Linked DNA regions of Notamacropus eugenii. The protein of the gene in region 2 interacts with the protein of the main gene of each other region in a biochemical or structural test. Links are inferred from orthologs where the notes say so. Each region holds a gene or a part of one and is shown on either strand. Other genes may lie near its edges.

The links.
Region 1: the proteins of RALA (region 2) and EXOC2 are reported together in a solved structure, tested with the Homo sapiens proteins (2 studies listed by BioGRID, with this or other methods). The link is inferred for Notamacropus eugenii from reciprocal best matches to the Homo sapiens genes RALA and EXOC2.

What each region holds. Positions count from the first base shown.
Region 1 is NC_092875.1:171,539,584-171,550,041, forward strand, and holds the start of EXOC2 (exocyst complex component 2), read left to right. Parts: upstream 1-5,295; 5' UTR 5,296-5,376; intron 5,377-10,458. UniProt on the Homo sapiens protein: Component of the exocyst complex involved in the docking of exocytic vesicles with fusion sites on the plasma membrane.
Region 2 is NC_092874.1:480,933,232-480,943,682, reverse strand, and holds the start of RALA (ras-related protein Ral-A), read right to left. Parts: upstream 4,783-10,451; 5' UTR 4,653-4,782; intron 1-4,652. UniProt on the Homo sapiens protein: Multifunctional GTPase involved in a variety of cellular processes including gene expression, cell migration, cell proliferation, oncogenic transformation and membrane trafficking.

The DNA of each region.
Region 1 (10,458 bases), on a different chromosome or scaffold from region 2:
TTTCTTTACTATATTCCTAATGGCTAAGTACAGTGTTAAAAAATAAGAAAAATATATCTTCCTTGCAAATAGATATAGATAAAAATTGATCCTTGTGGAGTTACTCCTTCCCCACCCCTACACCATCCTGAGTACAGTAAAAAAAAAAAAAACTAAACTAAAAAATTAAACAAACAAAAAACCCTGTCCTCTTCCTTCTCTCTTTTAATAGAGAATCAGAATATAATTTTAAATGTGTACAGAGAATTAATTCATACCTAATTTGGAGTTATAGCAAAAAGAAAACTGTCCTAAAATTTCATAGCCTTTCAATAAGAATAAAAATTTAAATTTTGACAGCAAAAGTGGTATTAATAAGGATGATGGGCTATTGTTATCCATATAAAATAAAATGGAAAATGGGCAATGGCACAAAGGAAAACACAAACATGAAGTATCTTTGCAAATGTGTCTCTCTGAGACATCCTGACTTAAAACACAAAACTGAAGTGGATATAAAATACTAAGGAGTAGAAATATCAGTCCATGTATCAGTTTTGTACAGCTGTCAACAAGGTATAAACATATGACAACTCATCTTACGTGAATCGGTTATCTAAAACATGTAAACCAAACAATGCAAGATAAAGGAGATTCTTCAAATTTCTTGCCCCACCCCTATGAAGAAAAATTTTATCCTCAATAAAATAATACAACTTGAAAGAGACTGTAAAAGTACATGTCTCATGGACACTATAACTAAGAAATTTTAAAAAAAAACCTCTCTTAGAGAGCATCGGACCTCCTTATCTGACTATGCAAGAGAAGTATATATGGCAAACTGCCTGCTTCCTTCATGCTCAGGAGAGACACATTTCAGTCCCTGTAGTTAGCAAGCCCAATCACTTTCTAACATGGTTCTCCAGTTACAGACTCCAGTAATAATCTTAAGAATTGTCAAAAGCAGAATACCAGTTAACAATCTTCTTACAATGAGTGGCTGACTCACAGAAGAAAAATGTGTTATTTTTTTAAAAATTAGAATGCCATAGTCAGCATTATTCTTTATATACAAGTGACTGTATCAACATACAGAAGGAATAAGGGAGTAAGGGGAAAAATAAATCTTTGAAATATGGCTGAAGAGATGGGGTGATGTAAGCTGAGTTATACAGATTGAATAGGTGATAAAACACAAAAGGACCCTAAAAATTCAAATGCCTCTTCCATCTTTCTCTTCTCTATCTACTACCAAAGAAGTCTAATTCCTTTTGTAACCTCCGTGTGAGCCTTACTCCCATTCAGACGCTTCTTTGAAATCTTAACATGCAAATTCAGCTCCAACTTTTAACTTCTGCTTGATAGTGGGGAGGAAGGGGGATGCGGAATATCCACTGGTTATGTGTCAAAATTCAAAACAAGGCATCATAAGAGGATCTTTTGAAGAGAAGGGAGATTTAGCTAGGGGTATACCTTAATCCATCACTAATTCTAGGGCAGATGAGTGATGTAGACGTATGAAATATCAAGTTATTAAAGTTAAGATTTAAAAGAAAGAACAACAGGTTTTTCCCATGTTCTGTGCAGAAACAATATAGTTATAGTCTTCATGCTGTCCTCATTTCCTCTTCTCCTCCTTTCCATGATTTCTCAGGGTGTTTCTCAGTAGTTAGCTAACTGTTAAATCTGATCCTGAGTTACCTGCTGTCAGGCAGTCCTCGTACTGTGACCTCATTTACCTCCCTAGGAGTCGAGTTAAAATTAATGTCAAAGAATGTAAATTCCAGGATGGAAAAAGGAAGAGGATAAAAGTATGAGGATGACATTTAAAATAAAAGAATAAGGAGTACTGCAAACATTTCTCCATAAAATGAAGTATGTGATTTACCTTCTCTGCACCTTGGGAATGGACTCCCTGAGGAAGGAATGAGTTCTTTATTACTAGAGCTCTTTCAATGGAAAATAGGTGACCCTTCATTTGGAATAGGGTAGAGGGGATTCCTAGCTAGGGACCAATTGAACCAGATTACATTTCTCTGGAGTTCTCCCAATGTAGAAGAGATGACCATTCATCTGGATAGCATAGAGAGGATTCCTACTCAGGGACAAGTTAAAACAAAAGGTCTCTTAGTATTTGAGTCATAATGAGGTTAAATTCTTAGGATCACAGATTCAGAGCTAGCAGGGACCTTAGAGATCCTCTAGTCTCTCTCCTTTTTCAGAGGAAGAAACTAAAGCTCCGAGAGGTAAAGGGACTTGCCCAACACCACACAGGTTTAATGACAGAACTGAGATTTGAATCCTACTTCTCTAATACCAAATCTAATATTCATACCACGTTGCTTCCCAAACTCCAATGTTTCTTCCAACTGATATTGAGGAATTATATTATTCTATTTCAGTGCAATGGAAGTGATCACATTTGCCATTAGAACATATGTGACTACTTTTAGAAAACTTTTCAAGACCTGAAGACTAATTTAATCTTTTAAATAATGGTAGCAATAAAAAAACAGTAGGAGATCATCACAACCCAGACTAACATAGTTTTATTTTTTTTTATAAAGCCACCTTTTCTGAGTTAGTTTTATTACCATTAGAGAGAAGTCAGAGACATAATTAATTTTTACATTATTTTGAGTAAAGTTAAGGAAGAGCACTTCATTTTTATAATCATCATTTTGTAGGTAAATAAAGTGAATGCTTATGTTATTGAGAAAGAGTGAGTATTTATCTACAAAATGTTTCTGACTGAGAAACATTAGAATTTCCTTCAAGAAAAATGAGTGGTCAAATGTCACAAAGCAGTAAGAAACCACAATGTCCTGTTACTAATAATTAAGAAAGTGTGTAAGTCTCACAAGAGAAAGTTGTAAGGTTTTGGTATCATATAAAAACTATATAGCCTTTAACTCTTATTTTTATTCATCAGATATCTTGAAGGAATAATGCTCTGATGAACTAAAATTGTTTCAATTCATAATTTATTAAACTGTTCTTCAGAATGTGGAAGGTAGATTTAACAAAACAATTGAATTACTTGGTAGGTGCTGCCATTTTTCAAGTATCAAGAAAAGATTCTGAAGGGTACAAACCTCATTTAAATTTTAAGAAGGACCATGTTTTTAGGTTTCCTGAAGAAATGACAACAATGTATATTAGAAGTATAGATGTTAGATATTCTGGATACATGCATATATATTTCTTCCAACATTAATTGGTCCACATTGAAAACATTAAAAATGCTTAATTTTTGAAAGGTGATTAAAATGTACACTTTTACAGAAGGGACCTATATTAGAGAATACTTTAGCCACAGCAACCACCTTTTCTGGCTTAGCATGGTTTTTCCTCATGTAAATAATGCTTATGTAATTGTAGCCATAAAAATAATCTAGCACATTGTACTGTTTTTGGTTTAGCTCAAAAATGCACTATTTTAAAGATGATACAGTATGCTCGAAAACAGGTATTATAGACAAAGTCTTCGGTGATCCCAATGCTGTTCTCTCACTTCTGAATTATTTTGTTTTTTCTCCCTTATGATACTAGTACATGGGAGTTCTGATTACAAATATTTATTGTAGGAGTAAAAAAGTAGTTTATTTACAAAGCAAATTAAATGTACTTTTTGGAGTTAGTTTCTTAGTTGAAAAAGAATACTGAATGAAGGGTAGGTATATGTCTAGTATCCTATCTTCAAACAGGTTAATTTGATTTTGACTGAAAGGATATATGTAAAGACAGAATGAGTGCCTTACCTACACATAATAAGAGTAATAGGTGCACATAGTAAGACTTGCACATAGTAGGAGCTTAATGAATACTGTTTTTTAAAAAAATATTTTAAAAATATTTTTATTTTATTTTACTTTAAAATGTTGCATTTGAACTGTCACAGTCAGTACATGGATGAGTGATATTTTTGACTGAGCTCATGAAAATGTAGTTAAATATTTTCAGTTGTACAAAATAAATGAACTTTTTTTGTGTGTATGTGAGTATTGTTTAGAAAAACACTGCCTCTGGGTCAGCTGTGCACAGATTCCTTGGACAGGTCTTTAAAGGAAAGAAGTATTTTGTTACAAGCCAAGAAAGGAAAGCAATGTGAGATTTCTAAATGCTATTGAAGATCGTTTAAAAATGCAAAAGGCTCTCGGATCTGTTTGATGTGGAGAAGTTGACTGGACTTGTTCAGGAAGAACATTCAAAATGCTTTGTGCATTAATTTATGTCTTATTTCTCTTAAAGTATGCCAAAAATCATTTGGGGGCAGGCACAAGTACAGCAATGCATTTCATTCTCTTTTTTTACTTTCAATGATAAATGTTTTTTACTTTACAATATGCCGTTTCTGTCCTACAGTTACACTTATTGAGTGAATTACTGCCAAATTCAGTCAATAGTTACTGGTCCATGTTTGTTTAAAGCAAAAGTTTAAAAAAGCTGAAAAGTCTTTTAACTTTTTTCACTGGCTATTAGTCAGTTTTATGTTATATTACAGTATCACTAGTCATTTTTCATTAATCAGTGGCGTAGGGCTTATTCTTACAAATAAGCTAGTAAAATAATACGGAAAAATGACTGAAATTCTAATTCAAATTAAAATCTTCTAAACTAAAAAAAAAAAATTCCTCTAAATATGTTTTTCTAGGAAAGCAAATACAGCCAACCCCAAATCTAGTATCACTGCTGAAGACATTGCAAGAGGTATTTTAAAATACAGAAGATACATAAAAGTACAAAAGCAATTTGAGGACTTTTTATTATGCAAACGAAACATGAATTAAAAGCGTATAAATTTCTAGGATGTGATCATAATGACATAATTAGAAAGGAATTTTTAATTTGTTCTAAACTGAAACTCTAAGAGAAATCCTTACAGTGTTAGAGAGTTGGAAAATTATTACTTAGGAAGAAGAACTTTTAAAAATGTTTTCAGGAAAGAAAGCCAGTTAGCAATCCATCAGCTCTTAAATATATTATTCCTGTCAGCATATTCATTTGGTTTTGTTAGCAGATTGAATATGCATCATGTTCAATATACTTAAAATGCAACAACTATGCAAATTAGCATGGCCCCACACATTCAGGATCTGAAAGAAATCAGTCCCAGCATAAATGAAATTACTCTGTGGACAAGTAGGAATGCAATGAAAAATTGAAAATCCAGCCCACATACTTAGGGCACCTTTCCCCCAGTAGAGTTATTTCACAATAAGACTACCATGTGATTTTCATTTTTCTCTCTTTCACATTTTCTGGCATGAGGTTGAGGAGAGAGGGTGAAGGTGGGAATGACATGACACAGTGGATTGAGTCTGGGCATGGGCCTGGAATCAGGAAGACCTGGGTTCAAATTTGGCCTCAGAAAACTTCCTAGCTGCATGATCCTGGGTAAGTTACTTAACTTCTGTTTGTTTCAGTTTCCTCCATTATAAAATGGGAATAATAACAGTACCTATCTTGCAGGATTGTTATAAGGATCAGATGAGATAACTGCAAAAAGAATTTAGCACAGTACCTGGCACAGAGTAGATGCTATATAAATGCTTTTTTCCTGCCCCTTCTTCATCCTTATGATTTGAAATCAGAGAAAAGTGGTATGACTGGGGGCAGGTACAGGGGAGTACAGAGAAACGAATGATGGGGAGATACTTGAGGAAAGAGAAGGAGAAACTGTGGAGACACAGGGCAGCCAGAACGCTCCTTTTGGATTGAGATGAATGTTGAAGTTTGTGGTTTTTTTTAAAAAAATTGATTGCTATGTATTAGATACTTTTATGAAATCAAGCATTAAGATCCCCTATACACCAAGATGCTTGCTTCATGTGTAACCTTGGACAAATCTTTTAACCTCCCTGGGCCTCAGTTTATCTAGCTTTAAAATGAAATGGGTTGGATTTGAAGACTTCTAAGTTGATTTTCACAAATAAAATCCTTCAATACAAAAGCTTTCAGCTTAAGAGCTGGAAGATTTGTGTGATCTGCTACCAGCGAGATATTAAGAGTAAAAGGCATGGTGGGTAAGATCAATGCTACACATATATTAGGGGTCATATCAGATGATTGGAGAAAATCGGCCACTCAGTCAAAACTTGGTAAAAAGAATAGCTTGCTAAAATATACATTAATAGGATCTCAGATTCTAAAGTTCATCCTCCGCATTTGTAGATAAGAATGCTAAATCCCAGAGAAGTGGCTTACTCAAAACTGCACAGCTCTTGGTCAGTTCTCCTGAATTTCTGCTCAGTGCTATTTCCATGACAGCACAGTTATTTTTATATGTATGGGCTGGTTTGGGGCTCCTTATTCCCTTCCCTGTGGCTCTTTGGCTGTTTCATAGCTCTAATTTCACCCAAGGGTGAAGAAAAGCAGGAGAAAAAAGGGATGCTCTCCAAGGCAATCTATTGTGCTGTGCTTGCCGTTTCAGCAAAAGGTTATGGTTAGGAGAAAAGTTGAATCTGTTGGCTAAAATGAGGTACTGGAAATGATCTGTGGATTTTAATTATTCATGCATTCCTCATTCCCCTGTTGCCATGACTAATCTGAAGTTTGTGGTAAGCTGTCCTGGCTGGGTCACGTGAGAATGGACGCAGCAGAAAACTTGAACATCTGCTTGAAAGTGAACTGAAGGAAGGCTCTTGTGAACAGGGTGGACAGACAAAGTATTTCAAGAAAGCATAGCCTGAAGCGATATCATTACACTGTGAACAGCTGGGATGCAACTGGAGGCCAGAGGACAAGCTGCCATGCTTCCATCTGACATGGAGGTGGAGCTTCCTCAATTATCTTAGCTGCTATCATATTGGATACTTATTAGGTGCATGTCTCTGTGTCCACTCCTTAGAAGAATTCAGTGGAACACCGAAGTGGTGAGGAGCCTACCTTCTGAGAACTTCTAGTCCTTTACTGTTTTCATGCAAAGCAAAGTGCTAAAAGGAAGAATTAAAAAAAAAAAACTGGGCTAAAATTTGCACTACTTTGGGTTGAGGTGACGAGGGATCAGTGGGTCTGACATCAATTTGCCAATGCTGATAAGAACGTGTTTCTGATACCATGGGAAGTGATATCATTAATGTGTGGTCTAAAGTCCTACCAGGACTCAAATGAAAATCTGGAGGCCAGCTAAACATGAAAAACTAAATGGATAAGAATATAAATATCTAAACCTAGATTTGGCAGGTAGTAAAAGAACTTTGTCCACCCTTTTGCTTCTGCTATAATAGGGAGGAGTCAGTGATATTGCTGGACAATTTTCGAATTAAGTGATCTAAATCAATAAAGATGTCCAGCAGTCGCATGAGTGGTTAACATGCATCAGAGGCTATATGCTTGTTTCTGAAATGAATTAATACTGACATTGGAAATTCCTAATTCCAACAACTAACTGGTGAAGTGCATAGATAAGAATGTTGGCCTTGGAGTCAGGAAGTACTGAATTCAAATCCTGACTCAAACGCTTAGTAGCTGTGACATCCCTTCCTCACATTCCCTCTCTACCTCCTCAACTCACATCTTTCTTAACCTCTGTTTATTCATTTATAAACTGAGGATAAAAATAGTATCTACCTTGTAGGGCTGTTGTGAGGTTCAAATGATGTAATATTGTACGGTGCTTTGCAAATCTTAAAGCACCATACAAATATGACCTATTATTTATTATTATTATTTCCCAACTGAAAGTACTCAGGACAAGTACTTTTTGTATTTTTTTAGTAGCAAGAAGAAAAATAGTTTATAGAGTCTTTGTTACTGGTTGAGATCCACCATTTTAGTGGGATCCCAAGTGGGAAGAAGCAATACTTGACATTTATGAAAATACTTTACTATACCATTGCATTTAATCTAACTGCCTGGTACATAATAGGTAGTTAACTTTTTGTTGATTGATGGATTAAAAGGAGCTGGGACTGTCTCAAGCAGGCAATAAGAAGCCCCTAAAGATTTTTGAGTGGTAAAGTAACATTAATAGACCCAAGCAAAAAAAAAAAATTAGTCTGGTAACAATATAAATGATAGAATGGAAAAAGTCTTGGGAGTTTTGGAAGACAAGGAGCCAATGAAGGATAGAGAAAAGGAGTTAGCAAAGTAGGAGAAAAATCTAGAAAATATGTAGTCTGTGAAGCCAAGGGATTAGAGAAAATCCAGTAGGAGGGAGTAGTCATCAGTGACAAGTGCTGCTGAGACAGGTGAGGACTGGAAAAAGTCAGCTGGTTATTAGGTGGTCATTCTTAAACTTTTGGGGGATCACTTCAGCAGAGTTACAAGGAATAATCAGTAAGTCTGAATAAGCATTAATTACACAAACAGTGATAGGCAATGTGCTAAGCTCTGAGGATACCTAGAAGACATTCAACACGGTTCCTGCATTCATGGAGCTTATATTCTAATAGGGGAACTAATATGGAAATAACTGTATAAACAAGAAATATTAAGAAGAAATGGAAGGTTATCTCACAATGAAGGCCTGGGGTTGTTTAGGAGATTGAGGAAGAAAAGGGAGGTGAAGGCCTCCTGCAGGAGATGGGATTTGAGCTGAATCCTGAAAGAAGCAAGGGAAGCTAGGAGCTGGAGGTGAGGTTGGAGAGCACCCAAGGCATAGGGGAAATAGTGAAAAGGTAAGGAGGAGATAAAGTACTCTCTGTGAGAATCCAGTGTTGCTGAATGGTAGAGTGTATAGAGGAAGGTAAAAACATGTGAAGTCCGGAAGGGCAGGAAGGGGTTAGATTTTGAAGGACTTTCATCCTGGTGGAAGTCAGATTGCAAGAAGTTAAGGAGAGAATAAGGGTTGGGATAGGAATGATGTAAGAGCATATGATATAGGCAAATTTCTTCGTTAAGTTTAGTAGTAAAGGAAAGAGATTTTTCATTGGCAACTAAATGAGGTGAAAGGATCAAGGAATTTTTTTTTCAGATTAAAGAGACCTGAGAAAATTTGCAATTTTCTCTTTTTAAGTGAATAATGATTTATTTTTATCATTTCCAATCTTTGCTCTTTTTGTTTGTGGTGTTCTACTAAATAAATATCTTTATAAGGTTTTATTTCATTTTTTATTTCTTTCCTCTTCCTTTTTATTTCTAGCCTACAGTAAGAATTTTCCAAAGATTTGTTTCCATTTGAAGAATGTTTTTACACTTTTAGATTTGGATTTAGAAAATGTAAAATTTTCTTAAAATTTAATTTATTTGTTTTCAATTTTCAACAATCACTTCCATAAGTCTTAAATTTTCTCCTCCTCCCTTTTCCCCTTCCTCCCCAAGATGGCATACAATCTTATATGGGTTATACATATACATTCTTATTAAACACAGAAAATGTAAAATTTTTTTTTGCATGTGGTAATTTATCATTTGCATGCTGGAAGTGATAGAAAACTGAAAATCAAATGTGATTTATTTTTGTTTAGGACTTAGAAATAAGGATTTGGGGAAGGACAATTATCATTAGTCAAAAGGTATTTTCTCCCCTACCTTATATCAAAACTGATTCTGGCAAATTAGTATCACAGGCTTTAGAGACAAGAGGGATTTTGGGGATTATCAAGTCCAACGACCTCATTTTACAGGATGAAAAAGACCCAGAATATGAAGTGACTTCCAAGGTCAGATAGGTAGTAATGAGCAGAACCAGGATTTGAAACTATCTTCTCAGATTGCAAATCCAGTATTCTTTCCATGACCCCATGCCGGTCCAGTATTAAAACCATCCAAGCTATAAATGGTTTGTAATTGGCTCACTAGTTAGCACTGCAGAGTGTATACTGAAGTGTTTATTGAAGTTTTACTAAGTGAAATTGTCCTAAGATTTCATGGCCTTCTAATAAGAATGAAAATGTAAACTCTGACTGTGAGGACTTTTATTAGTAAGGCTGATGAGCTGTTTTCATCTACACAGAGAGGGGAGATTGGAAAAAGACAACAGATAACGAGATTGGCATGCTAGAAAGGAAAGTAAGAATATGAAGATTCTCTGCAATTTTATTTCAAGGTATTAATTTGCCATTGCCCTCTTTTTAAATCACACCAGCACAGAGGTAGGTAGCTTTATAGATAAAACACAGAGGGGATTAGTGATTTAGAGGGAGTAGAAGAAACAAGGCAAGAAATTGTCACTATTTTTGATATTATTTTTAAAAGTAGTTCTCTTTTCTCTTGTGTTATTGCTTTTCCTTCATCTATATTACAGGCTATAACACTAGTTTTCAAAATTGGGGCCAGGAAAAACATCTGTAAGGACTGGAAGTCCTTCCATGGCAGGGTGACCTAACCTGGAGCAGAAAAAGTATCCTGTCACTGAGACTGAAGGAGAAGTTCCCAGCTTCAGTGAAATTGTACCACTGCTAGATACTGAAGGGAGAATGTGTATGCACATGAATCTGCTTCCTCTGCCCTGCTTTTGGCAGGTCTATGACCCTTATTTCCTGGTGTTTCCTTTGCTTGATTAAATGAGTGGCTCTTGGGGAATTCAGTTACTTT
Region 2 (10,451 bases):
TTCACCAGGGGTAGGAGGGCTCTAGCTGCAAAACCCAACATACACTGTCAGACCTGGTCACGGGGTCAGTAGGTTCTGCTATAGGGGTGCATCACTAGATGGATGGGGCGGGGGAAGAAGTAGGGAAAGGTATATGGGAAAAAACTGATGCAGAGGGGTCGGACTTGGGATGTGGCCCCTCAATGTCTCAAAGACATTCTTTAAGAATCTAAGTTGCAGAGAAGGTCCCAGGAGGCACTAACAGTGGGATTTTCCTCACCAGGGTAAGATCTATACCACAGGTATCAGACTCAGAGAAAAGCAGCCATATAAACTAACTAAAGAAATCATATATTAATATTAAATGTGTTTTATTATATTTTAATTTGTTAACTATTTCCCAATTACATTTTAATCTGGTCCAGCTGCCCTTGGGAGCTTTTGACACCATCTACTTACAGGAGTGAAATCAGGTCTAGTTGCTCTCCTTAAAAACAAAAAGTATTAATAAAGTTAGTACAAAAATCAAATCAAATCTGAGTTGAGATGGATGATTCCTGAGAGCTCCTCACTCCAACTGTTTCACTTCTCTCCTCAGAATCTCCTTTCTCAGAGCACCACCCTACTCCTCACTGGGTTCTGTTGTCCTCAAGAACTTTAGGTCATGGGATTTTCTCTGAACCCACTTGAAATTTGCTGTACTCAATGTTTGCTATGGAAGCCTACATAGAGCTTTCCTCTTCTTTGCTATCAGTACCACAAAGGTACTGGTTTCGAGCTCTCTTCTTTTTGGTCTGAATTCATTTAGTCCAGGAAAGCAGTCCAGCCTCCCTAATCATTTCCTAAACCACCAGGATAGTTTGATAATTAAGTCAGGACAATACTTTATCGCCTCCGGTTATTTTGGCAGAGGAACAGTTCCAAATGTCTAGATGAAGTCCTCTACAATGAAAAAGTATTTATGAAATGCCTACTCCCCAACAGAAAAGATGGCACCAACTCTTGAGTTACTCCCACACTACTGGGGGCCCCAACACAGGTTTCAGCTGCAAGTGAGCTGGACAGGCAATGCTAGTCAGGGCAAGGCAGATAGGACTGGGTCTGAAACGTTTTTGTGCATCTGAGAGTGAACAGTTCCCAATAACCCCTAGGATCAAACACCACCTCCTCAGCTGGGTGTCCCAAAGTCCTTCGCTCCCTTGTTGCCACTTACCTGCACAGGCGCAGCATGTTCCACTGGGTGTCACTGTTCAGTCAAATGGATCTTATGGCTGCCCTTCATCACCCTTTTTGTATGGGAGACTCCCAAGGCCTCGGAGGCCCTTCCCTTCAATAACTCTTCCTCCCTCCTCCATTCTTCTGCTCTAAAAATACTCCTCAAAGCTCAGCTTTTTCGTGGGTCATTCACCCCAACCCACCCAGCTCTTTGCTGGCAGGTCTAGTTTTCTTTTGTCTCTGAATCCCCAACACCTCACCCAATGCTTGCTGGTTATTCTGATCGATGCTGTCATGCCAGGGCTACATTCTGTTTGCCCTCTTCTTCCTTTTACCTAAGTGGTCTCCAGGCCACACTCACACTCTCTCAGTTCCCTTCCTGTGTACCCCAAAGCTCGGGTCCCTGTGTCTCTCCAAAGGTATGTATTGCCAGCACACTTCTGACCCACTCTGTTTCTTTGGAAATCATCAGTTTAGCTGAACTCAAGGAGCAAGTCTGGTGCTTCGGCACGAGGTCTGCCCCACTGCAGGTTTTGAGGACGTGACCACATAGGCAGGCTTGGGGCTGGTCTTTACTGCCTGGGTCTCTCCTGTAAAGCACTAAGTGTGTCTGTGGCCACTCTTCCTACTCTATAATCACCCTCGAGGGGTCGCTGCTTAGAGAGAGGTTGGTAGTTTTCACCTGCCCTTTTCATTTCACTTATAACAACTGATGAAAATCTTTTTTTCTAGAATTTATATACCCTAGTCCTAGTCAGGAGACTATCATTCCTATATTTTTAAGCCATGATCCCCAAACCCTTATTATGTGTTTCTAAACAGCTTTGATTGTCACAGGAAAATTCTGAAGATCATCTGGTAAGATAAGGTACAAGGTCCTTTCTTGAACTAAACTGTCAAGCATTCAAACTCTCTGGCAGAGAGTTCAACCCTGACAGGGTGGCTACATTGTTCCAATAATTATATATACGTAGGCCTAGAAGACTCACAAGGCAAACACTCACATGGAGGTCAGAAGAAGAAACACAAGGACACTCTGGAGGTCTCTCACGGGAGACACCGGCACAGGACTGCCCAGTATAGTATGCCCACAGCAAAGAAGGTGCTGTGCTCTATGAGCAAAGCAGAACTGCAGCAGCCCCAAAGCAGTGTGAGATACACAAATTCAGAGATATTTTCACTCCCAATACTCATGTGGATTCTTGGTGACCAAGCTGTGGTGGAGCCTTCCGAGCCCGCATCGGTCTGATCCGCCACAGGTACAGTACAGACATACTGTACTGATAACAATTTGGTCTTTTTTGAGAAGGAAGGACATCAACCAATGACCACAACTGAGCACCAGTACTAAAGAAGTCAAAGATCTCTGAGTTTCCTTTCTGAAATTTTAAAAAGCTCTATTTCTCAGACTTTTGTCCTCTTTTAGTAGGCTGAACTCCAAGCCACAAAGGAAAATCGCTCCCTCCCTCCCAAAATTCAAAGTGGTTCAAGCGCGATAACTGAACGGAAGATAATTCGCCAAAGGAATAAATGACTGTCGGGAGTGACGTCCGTGCACCCAGACAATAAGAGCATCACTCTCTGGCACACTTGTAATACAAAATTCAGTTTACAGTTTGGAGAGTCATGGGAATACTTACAATGTTTTATATTCAATTTACTGAGAAGATAAATGTAGCATCGTTTCTTTTTCACAATTTAATTATAATCATAGAGTTAAGGACACAATAGTCGCCGAAACAATTTATAAATCTTAACCTGAAATATAATACAGTCAAGGATCTGGCAGGAGGTTCTTCTCCTGAATTATTTTTAGAACCACACATCCTTAAATTGCTTTTACAATAAGTAATACCAACAAAGCGTTATCTTTTTTTGGTCCACACAGGATTTAGAGATCATATTTACTGCAACTTAACATCCCTGTGTGAGGTAAGTACTTATGCCAGGTATTAACATCCCATTTTAGGAATAAGAAAACTGATCTGAACCAAGGTTTTCCTGACTCCAAATCCAATCCTCTCCCTACACTATGACAGCCTGCCTCCCTGAGGAATTACTCTCAACAACAAAACCATTTGTGGCAGACAAGTTGGAATAAAATAAAGAACCTATCAGGCCAATTTTTCTCTCAACTCTTAATATAAATGTTACCATTTCAAAAAAAAATACACATAGAAACTAAATCCTTGGGTTAAAAACAAAGGCAATGTCAGCACCCCAGAAAAGTATTTTAGGGTGTGGCACTGGAGATGACAGAGGAACTCAGAAATCTGGGTTTTATGTTCGGACAGCGAAGAGCCCTTAGAAGACTCTCTAGTCTAACTCCGGCCTTCAACAGATGAACAAACTGAGGCCCAAAGCACCTCAATCAAACGGAAAGCTTCCACCTTTCTCTAGCCCAGGGAGGTTATCTAAGAGCTTCAGGTGGCTCCCCCGCCCCCCTCCATTTCCTCCAAATCAAAAACAAGCAGCAGAGCTCACCCACACCCAAAGCCACTAAAACCCACAATCTGAAAACCCCTTCCGAAGGCTGGAAGTGGATCGGGCTCCCCTACCCCAACCGAGGAGGCTCCAGCCCGGCCCGGCCTCCCGAGCTCGCCCTTCCCCCACCTCAGCGGCTCGGTCCGCATTAGGTGGGGCTGCCGCACCCCGAAGCCCCCCAGGTGGGGCGCCCGCGGGACTTCCCCAGGGCAGGACGGCCGTCTAGACGCTTTATACGGGATTCCCCGGACGTGGGAAGCGAGCCTAGGGAATAGGAGTGACCGAGCCGAGGTACGCTCGGCCAGGGCGGGCCCAGGGGTCCAGGGGCCACACTCGAACCCTGCTCCTCCTCCCAAAGGAGTCCCCACTGGACGGGGACACCCCACATCAAGGATCGGCTCTTTCCTCCCGCCCCGCCCCCGGGCCCTGGCACACAGCAGGTGCTCACAGGAGCGGCGCCCCTCCTCTCCTCGGTCCCCCCACCGCGCGGTACACTGCAGGCGATTCTCCCCCACCCTGCCGAAAGGAGGGGCGCCCCTTTCCTCCTCGGCACCCCAGGAGCCTGGTACACCGTAGGCGCCTAATGGAAGCTGCGGTTCTCCAAAACCCTCCTCGAGGGGTGGTTCCCCTCGGGGCTCGGCACACAGCAGGAACCAAAAAGGGGGCGCGCCTTTCTTCCCCTCCCCAGCCCGGCACACAGCAGGCGCCTAATGGATGGGTGATGCTGCGGCTCTCCCCCGCCCCTCCCCCCGCCCGGCACACAGCAGGCGCCTAATGGATGGGTGATGCGGAGGCTCTCCTCTCCACCCCCGCAGGAGGGGCGCCCCGTTCCTCCCCCGCCCCCACCCTGAGCGCGGCACACAGCTGGCGCCTAATGGATGCCCCAGCGCGGGCGGGGTGACCTTCGGGCCGCGCTCCCGAGGCCTGGCCCGCCCGGCCCGGACACACCCACCGCCCCGCGAGCCCACGCTCACCTGCAGCCGGCCGGGGAGCGGAGGCGGGCACGCACGCACGGCCGGCCGGGGCGAGGCTGAGGCCGCCGCCGCCGCGGGGCCGGGACCGGGCCGGACAGCTCGGGACTCCTCCTGGCAGCCGCCGCCGCCGCCGCCGCCGCCGCTGCCGATCACTTCCGGGGCACGGGGGCCGGGGTCGCACCACCCGGGGAGGGGGCCCCTAGCTGGGGAGCTACTTCCGGCGAAGAGCACGCCCAAAACCAGGAGCAGGACCCAGGCCCCGCTAGAGAACAATGATGGGAAACCCTGCTCCTCGCCCCGCCCGCGGTGGGGAGGGAACGTTGGGGGGAGGGGGTGGAGCGCCGGTCCCGTCTGCGCAGGTGCGAGCGTCCTGGCCCTTCGGGCAGCCCCGCCCTCCTCCTGCGCGGCGGTGACGTCAGCGCTGTTCCCCCGGCGGGCACGCCGCCAAAATCCCAGCCGAGATTCCCGGATGATGACGTCACCGACGTCCGGGCCTCCTCGTCGACGTAGGGCTCGTGCTCCCTGGGGGGGGGGGGGGGGGGGGGGACCTCGCCATGTTGGGCGTCGAGAGGTTTCCCGTCGTGGGTTGTGCTCTGGCTTGGGCCGTAAAGATCGGGTCCTCCCATCCTCCTCCGGCGAGGTGGAACATGAGGCCCCGAAAACTCTGAGAGTTCCCCGCCGAGGAGCGGAACCCGAGCGGGGCTTGGGGGGGGGGGGGGGGCAGCAATGGTCGGTCGAGGGCCCCGGGCCCTAGTCGCGCATGCGCTTCCTGGCCCCTCTCTGAGGCCCCCTGGGGGCGGGGCTGTAAGATCGCGAGATCAGGGACCTGATGGACGAGGAAACTGAGGCCCAGAGAAGGGAGAGGGCTTGTCCGAACTCCCCGGAGGATAAGTCACTTGAATAAAGCTCCTCGGGAGCCGCAAGCCCAGCGCCCTGGTACGGGGGGGCCAGGGACCCCCGGTCCGCTGCGCCCCCCTCCCTCCTGGGCCGCCCAGGGGAGCCTGTGAACCTCCTTCCCTGCCCTCGGCCTCCAGAGAGGGCTAGGGCTGGACTCCAGGATTTCCGAAGGACTTCCCGACCAGGAGGGAGCCCCCTGAGGGGCAGGGGAGAGCCCTGGGCCCCGGTGGAGTGGCAGGACTGGAGCTCGGTTGTCTCTCTTTTCTAAGCAGCTACCGGGTCACTGCGTGAGGAAGCGCACGGTCCGGGTCCTGCACCGCTTAATGCTTGAATGCCTTCTGAAGTCATCGGCCCTAGGGATGAGACCATGACGTCAGAGGTGACGCCATGACCCGCCCTGGACTCTGATTGGAGGCAGGTGGCCGGCCCGCTACCTCTTCTGCAACAGTAACCAGCTTGGGAAGTACACGTGGCTGGGTCAGCGCGGCCCAGCCTTGGGAGCATGGATCTGTCCGTGTGGATTGATGGCGTGATGCGTGATGATGGGATCCGAATCCGTGTCCCCAGGGAGCTGCGAGTGGATCCGGGCCCGCCTCACGCACCACGAGGTGGCTTCAAAAAGTCACATCACAGCCAAAATGCGGCATTGACCGTCGTGCCCCTGCTATAGAGGAGAAAATAAAGCAGAGCTTGGCCCCACTTTTCTTTCCCCACTCTTTGACCCTTTCTGTGCCCTAGATTCTCTTGATGTACAACTGGGATAATGATAACTTTCTACTGCCCTGCCTCACAGGGATGTTATGAGACATAACAAATTAATGTTTGAAAAGCCCTTTGAGGTTCTTGGATGAAAGGTATTAATGAAAGGACATATTAATAATGAGCACTAATCCCCTGGAGCATGACTGAATTTGGGCACTTACCAAGAGAAGACATCAAGGCTTTTGTTCAAAAACTTAGTCTGGGTTTTTTGGATGAATATCATTTTGATTATATTCAAAAACGCTTCATCACCTATTAGTAAATATAACTTTAGTCAAGAGTTAAGGGTTATCATGTAAGATTCACCGCTATCAACTGCTATCATATTTCCTTGAAAGCATTTGCATGGTCTTGTCAGACTGTTGTTTTTGCAGGGGGTTCTGAGCCTTTTTGGCCCACGTGCCATGGACCCCTTGGGGCAGTCAGTCTGATGAAGCCCATGAGCCCCTTCTTAGGGATATTTTTAAATGCATAAAATAAAATCCATAGGATTACAAAGAAGCCAATTATACTGTAATACAGTTATCAATATTTATTTTTGAAATAATGGGCCCTGGTCTAAGAACCTCTGTTCTAATATTTGTAAAGTGCTTATTAACATAGTACCTGACACATAGTAGGCACCTAATAAATGCTTGCTCCCTTGCCTACAGCATCCTTTTTAATGGCTGTTAAAGAATTTTAAAGAATATCCCTTTTTTAAATGATGTTATATTAATAAAAGTACTATTCATATTTGTATAGAATAATATAAAATGTATATATAATAGTCCATATCTAAAGATAACAAAGAATTGAATTGATAATGAATCTTTGGAACCTATTATTATTCATAGGCATGTCTATACCCAAAAGAAAATGATTTGTGAGAGGTAGCCTTAGTATCCAGAAGACATGGGTTCACATTCCATCTCAGATTTGTTCTATTATATGACCCTGCACCAGGCCTTGAAACTCTCATTTCCAGACAACTCTCCACAAGTGGCTCATCTGCATTAGTAGATGGAATTTCCTTATTGGAAATCCCCTGCAACATTAAAATTACCTTTCCATCTTTGAAAATTAGAGATTTAGATAGAATTAGGCTTTATTTCTTCTCCATTGTTGCTATTCTAAAATTCTAACCATTTCTTTTAGTTCATCTACGTTGTCTATCTTTTCATCTCTCCTCATTCCTCCTAAACTTCTTCACCTTCACTACAACCCTGTTCCCTCCCCTACCTTATTCTCCTGGTTCAGTAGCCCTGCTCTGGCCTCACTTTCCTCTCACCAGTTTCTTGACAAATTCAATACCATCAGTCATTCTTTTTCACTGCTAGTCCTTACCTCCACCATATGCCTTCTCTTTTGAACACATTCTACCTACTGCTGTTGAACATAGCCCAAATCATACTGTTTGACTCTGGGCAACTAGATAACACCATAGTGCATAGAGCACCAGGCCAGGAGTCCATAAATTCAAATCCAGCCTTGGACACATATTAGCTGTATGACCCTGGCTAAGTCACTTAATCCTGTTTGTCTCAGCTTCCTCATCTAAAATGAGCCAGAGAAGGAAATGGCAAACCACTCCATTATCTTTGCCAAGAAAACCCCAAATAGGGTCAGGAAGTGTTTGACATGACTGAACAACAACTGATTGACTCCACCATAGACTGAGGTCACCTGAAGTCAACAGCACCTTCCCAACCAAGTGGCAAAACTTTTATTCATCCTCAATTGATTGATCCCATTCCCTGAGTCTTCATTTAGAAACTTCCCGTTTTCTGAAAGTCCCAGAGCTATCATCCTCCCCCATCATCCTCACCTCTCCTACTTTAATGACGAAATCAAGATCATTCATTGTGAACTCCTACATCTCTAGCCCCACATCTTCTACAACCATTCTTATCCTTTCTTTTCTTACACCAGTGTCCTAGGAAGTAGTGGCCTTCTTCTGAGGACCAAACCTTCTAGCCGTGAACTGAGTACCATTCTCTCTCTGTCTCTGTGTGTTATCTAAATCTATATCTGTCTATCTGTCTGTCTGTCTGTCCGTTTGTCTATCTATCTATCTGTCTGTCTATCTATATCTTTCCGTCTGTCTCTCCAATACAATGTAAAGTCTGCAGCACCTAACACAGTACCTAGTACATATCTGGTATTTAGTAAATATTCATCGATTGATCATGCACTTTCAGTCCCTCAATTTACTTCCACACCTTCACTAGCTATAGAAAGGTCAGATCTAATTAGGGCTGAAAAAAACCCTTCACTTGACCCTGCTGTTCCCTCAAGCAATTGTCCTTTATCTCTGCTCTTTCACTATCTCTATCCCACAATCAGAAAAAAAAAATCATCTACCCTCATTGTCTTTACTTCCTTATTGCCGAATCTTTAGCCTCCTGCAATCTGGCTTCTGATTCCTCCCTGACTGAAATTGCACTTTCCAGGATTTATATCACTGATGGATGAATTGCTTGATCCAGTGATGTTTTCTTAGTCCCCGTTGTCCTTAATTGTACTTCATACAGCTGACCACCTCTTGGACATTGTCTCTTTTCTCATTTTCCATTTCTCTTTTTGCCTATACAACTGGTCCTTTTCAGTTTCTGGCTTCCTAAATAAGTGCCTGTGGTGCGCTGGCTTTCTTATTCATTGGTAGTGCTCTCTCTAGACACTCTCCCAATCCCTACTTAAAGTGGAAGATCAGTTTCCCAGTAAGTAGTTGGGATTTGGTGAGATGTGCAGACAGGGATTTTATCACTGGCCCCTTTTCTTGATTTTTTGTCTCCTAGGAATTTGTAGGTATTTCATCTGTTGCCTGTTGTACTTGGGAAGTTTCCTCCTTCCTTCTTCATTTGTTAACAGCAGCAGGTGAGGTAAATATAAACAGACGTTACACTTGGCCTGCAGATCATTGTCATTTCAATGAAGAGGGAAAATAAAAGAGGATGAAATGAATAGCTGAGAATCCCAGGGAGAAAATCTCAGCAACCAGAAGATACATCCCTTTGAAAGAGTAGATGGTGATAATGAAGGAGAAATAAAGGCAAAGCTGGACAGGGGTTTAGAAACACCTCCATATTTGAAAGAATCCCAGTCTAGAAGGTCACATTGCTCGAGGCTCATTGTTTTAAAGTAGCAAAGAACTAAAACCAATTCAAGGACGACTGTGCTGGGAAAAAAAGTGCCAATATTTCAGATGAGACTAGAAGCAACCTCTTGTCTGTCTGGGACACAGAAAGAAGCTGAGTTAGAAATAGCTAGGACAGTCAGCTGTCCAAGTGTCCACAGTGATGGTGTTCCTTTCCACTGAATTTGATAAAAAGTGAAACACTCATTTCCATCAGTCTCATCATATGATAGAAAGTATTAAGTGCTGGACAATGCATTTTACTAAACAGATATTAGTCAGTTATCTTGGATCTGGATTCTGTAGAACAGTTTTGGTTTGAGGTCTGGGATATTAAAATCTGCCTTTGCAGATAGAGGAAGTTGTGGGCACAACTTTTCGTGTATATACAAGAAGTATAGCAACTGGGCTTATCAGAGTCCTACCATTCCTGCCCCTCCCTTCCACCGCGTGTGTGTAACCAGGGGAGAAATCATCTCTATAGCACTCTGACATTCTTTGATCCCTTTTGTTTGTGATTGTAGCCCCAAACTAGCCTGTGCCACAGAGAAGGGGAGAAAAAGTCTTTGCTACTTCCCAATTCTTATAGTATAATATGAACAAAACATAGGCTAAAGGACTAAATTATTTCATTTCCAATGTGCTTTTAGTAGCTAAAAAATGATGAAACTATATATGAACACCTGAAATTAAATCCTAAAAATTTACTGCATATTGAGATGATTCTGCTAACGCAAGAGTTTTTCACTGGGCATCTGTGGATTTGTTGAATACTTGGATAACTGTATTTTGCTGTAATTGGTTCTGTTTGTAATCCTATGCATTGTTTTATACATTTGAAAACATGATTTTGAGAATTGATCCATAGACTTCATCATTTGCTGCCAAAGGTGTCAGCGACACAGAAAGATGAAAAGCCCTGCTCTGAAGGCTGCCCCGTAGCTCTCTGCCCTATCCTTTTCTGTCTTCCTGTGTTCCAGCATCCTGTCTGTCCACCAAAATAAAGGCAGGAAACCTAAAAGGGA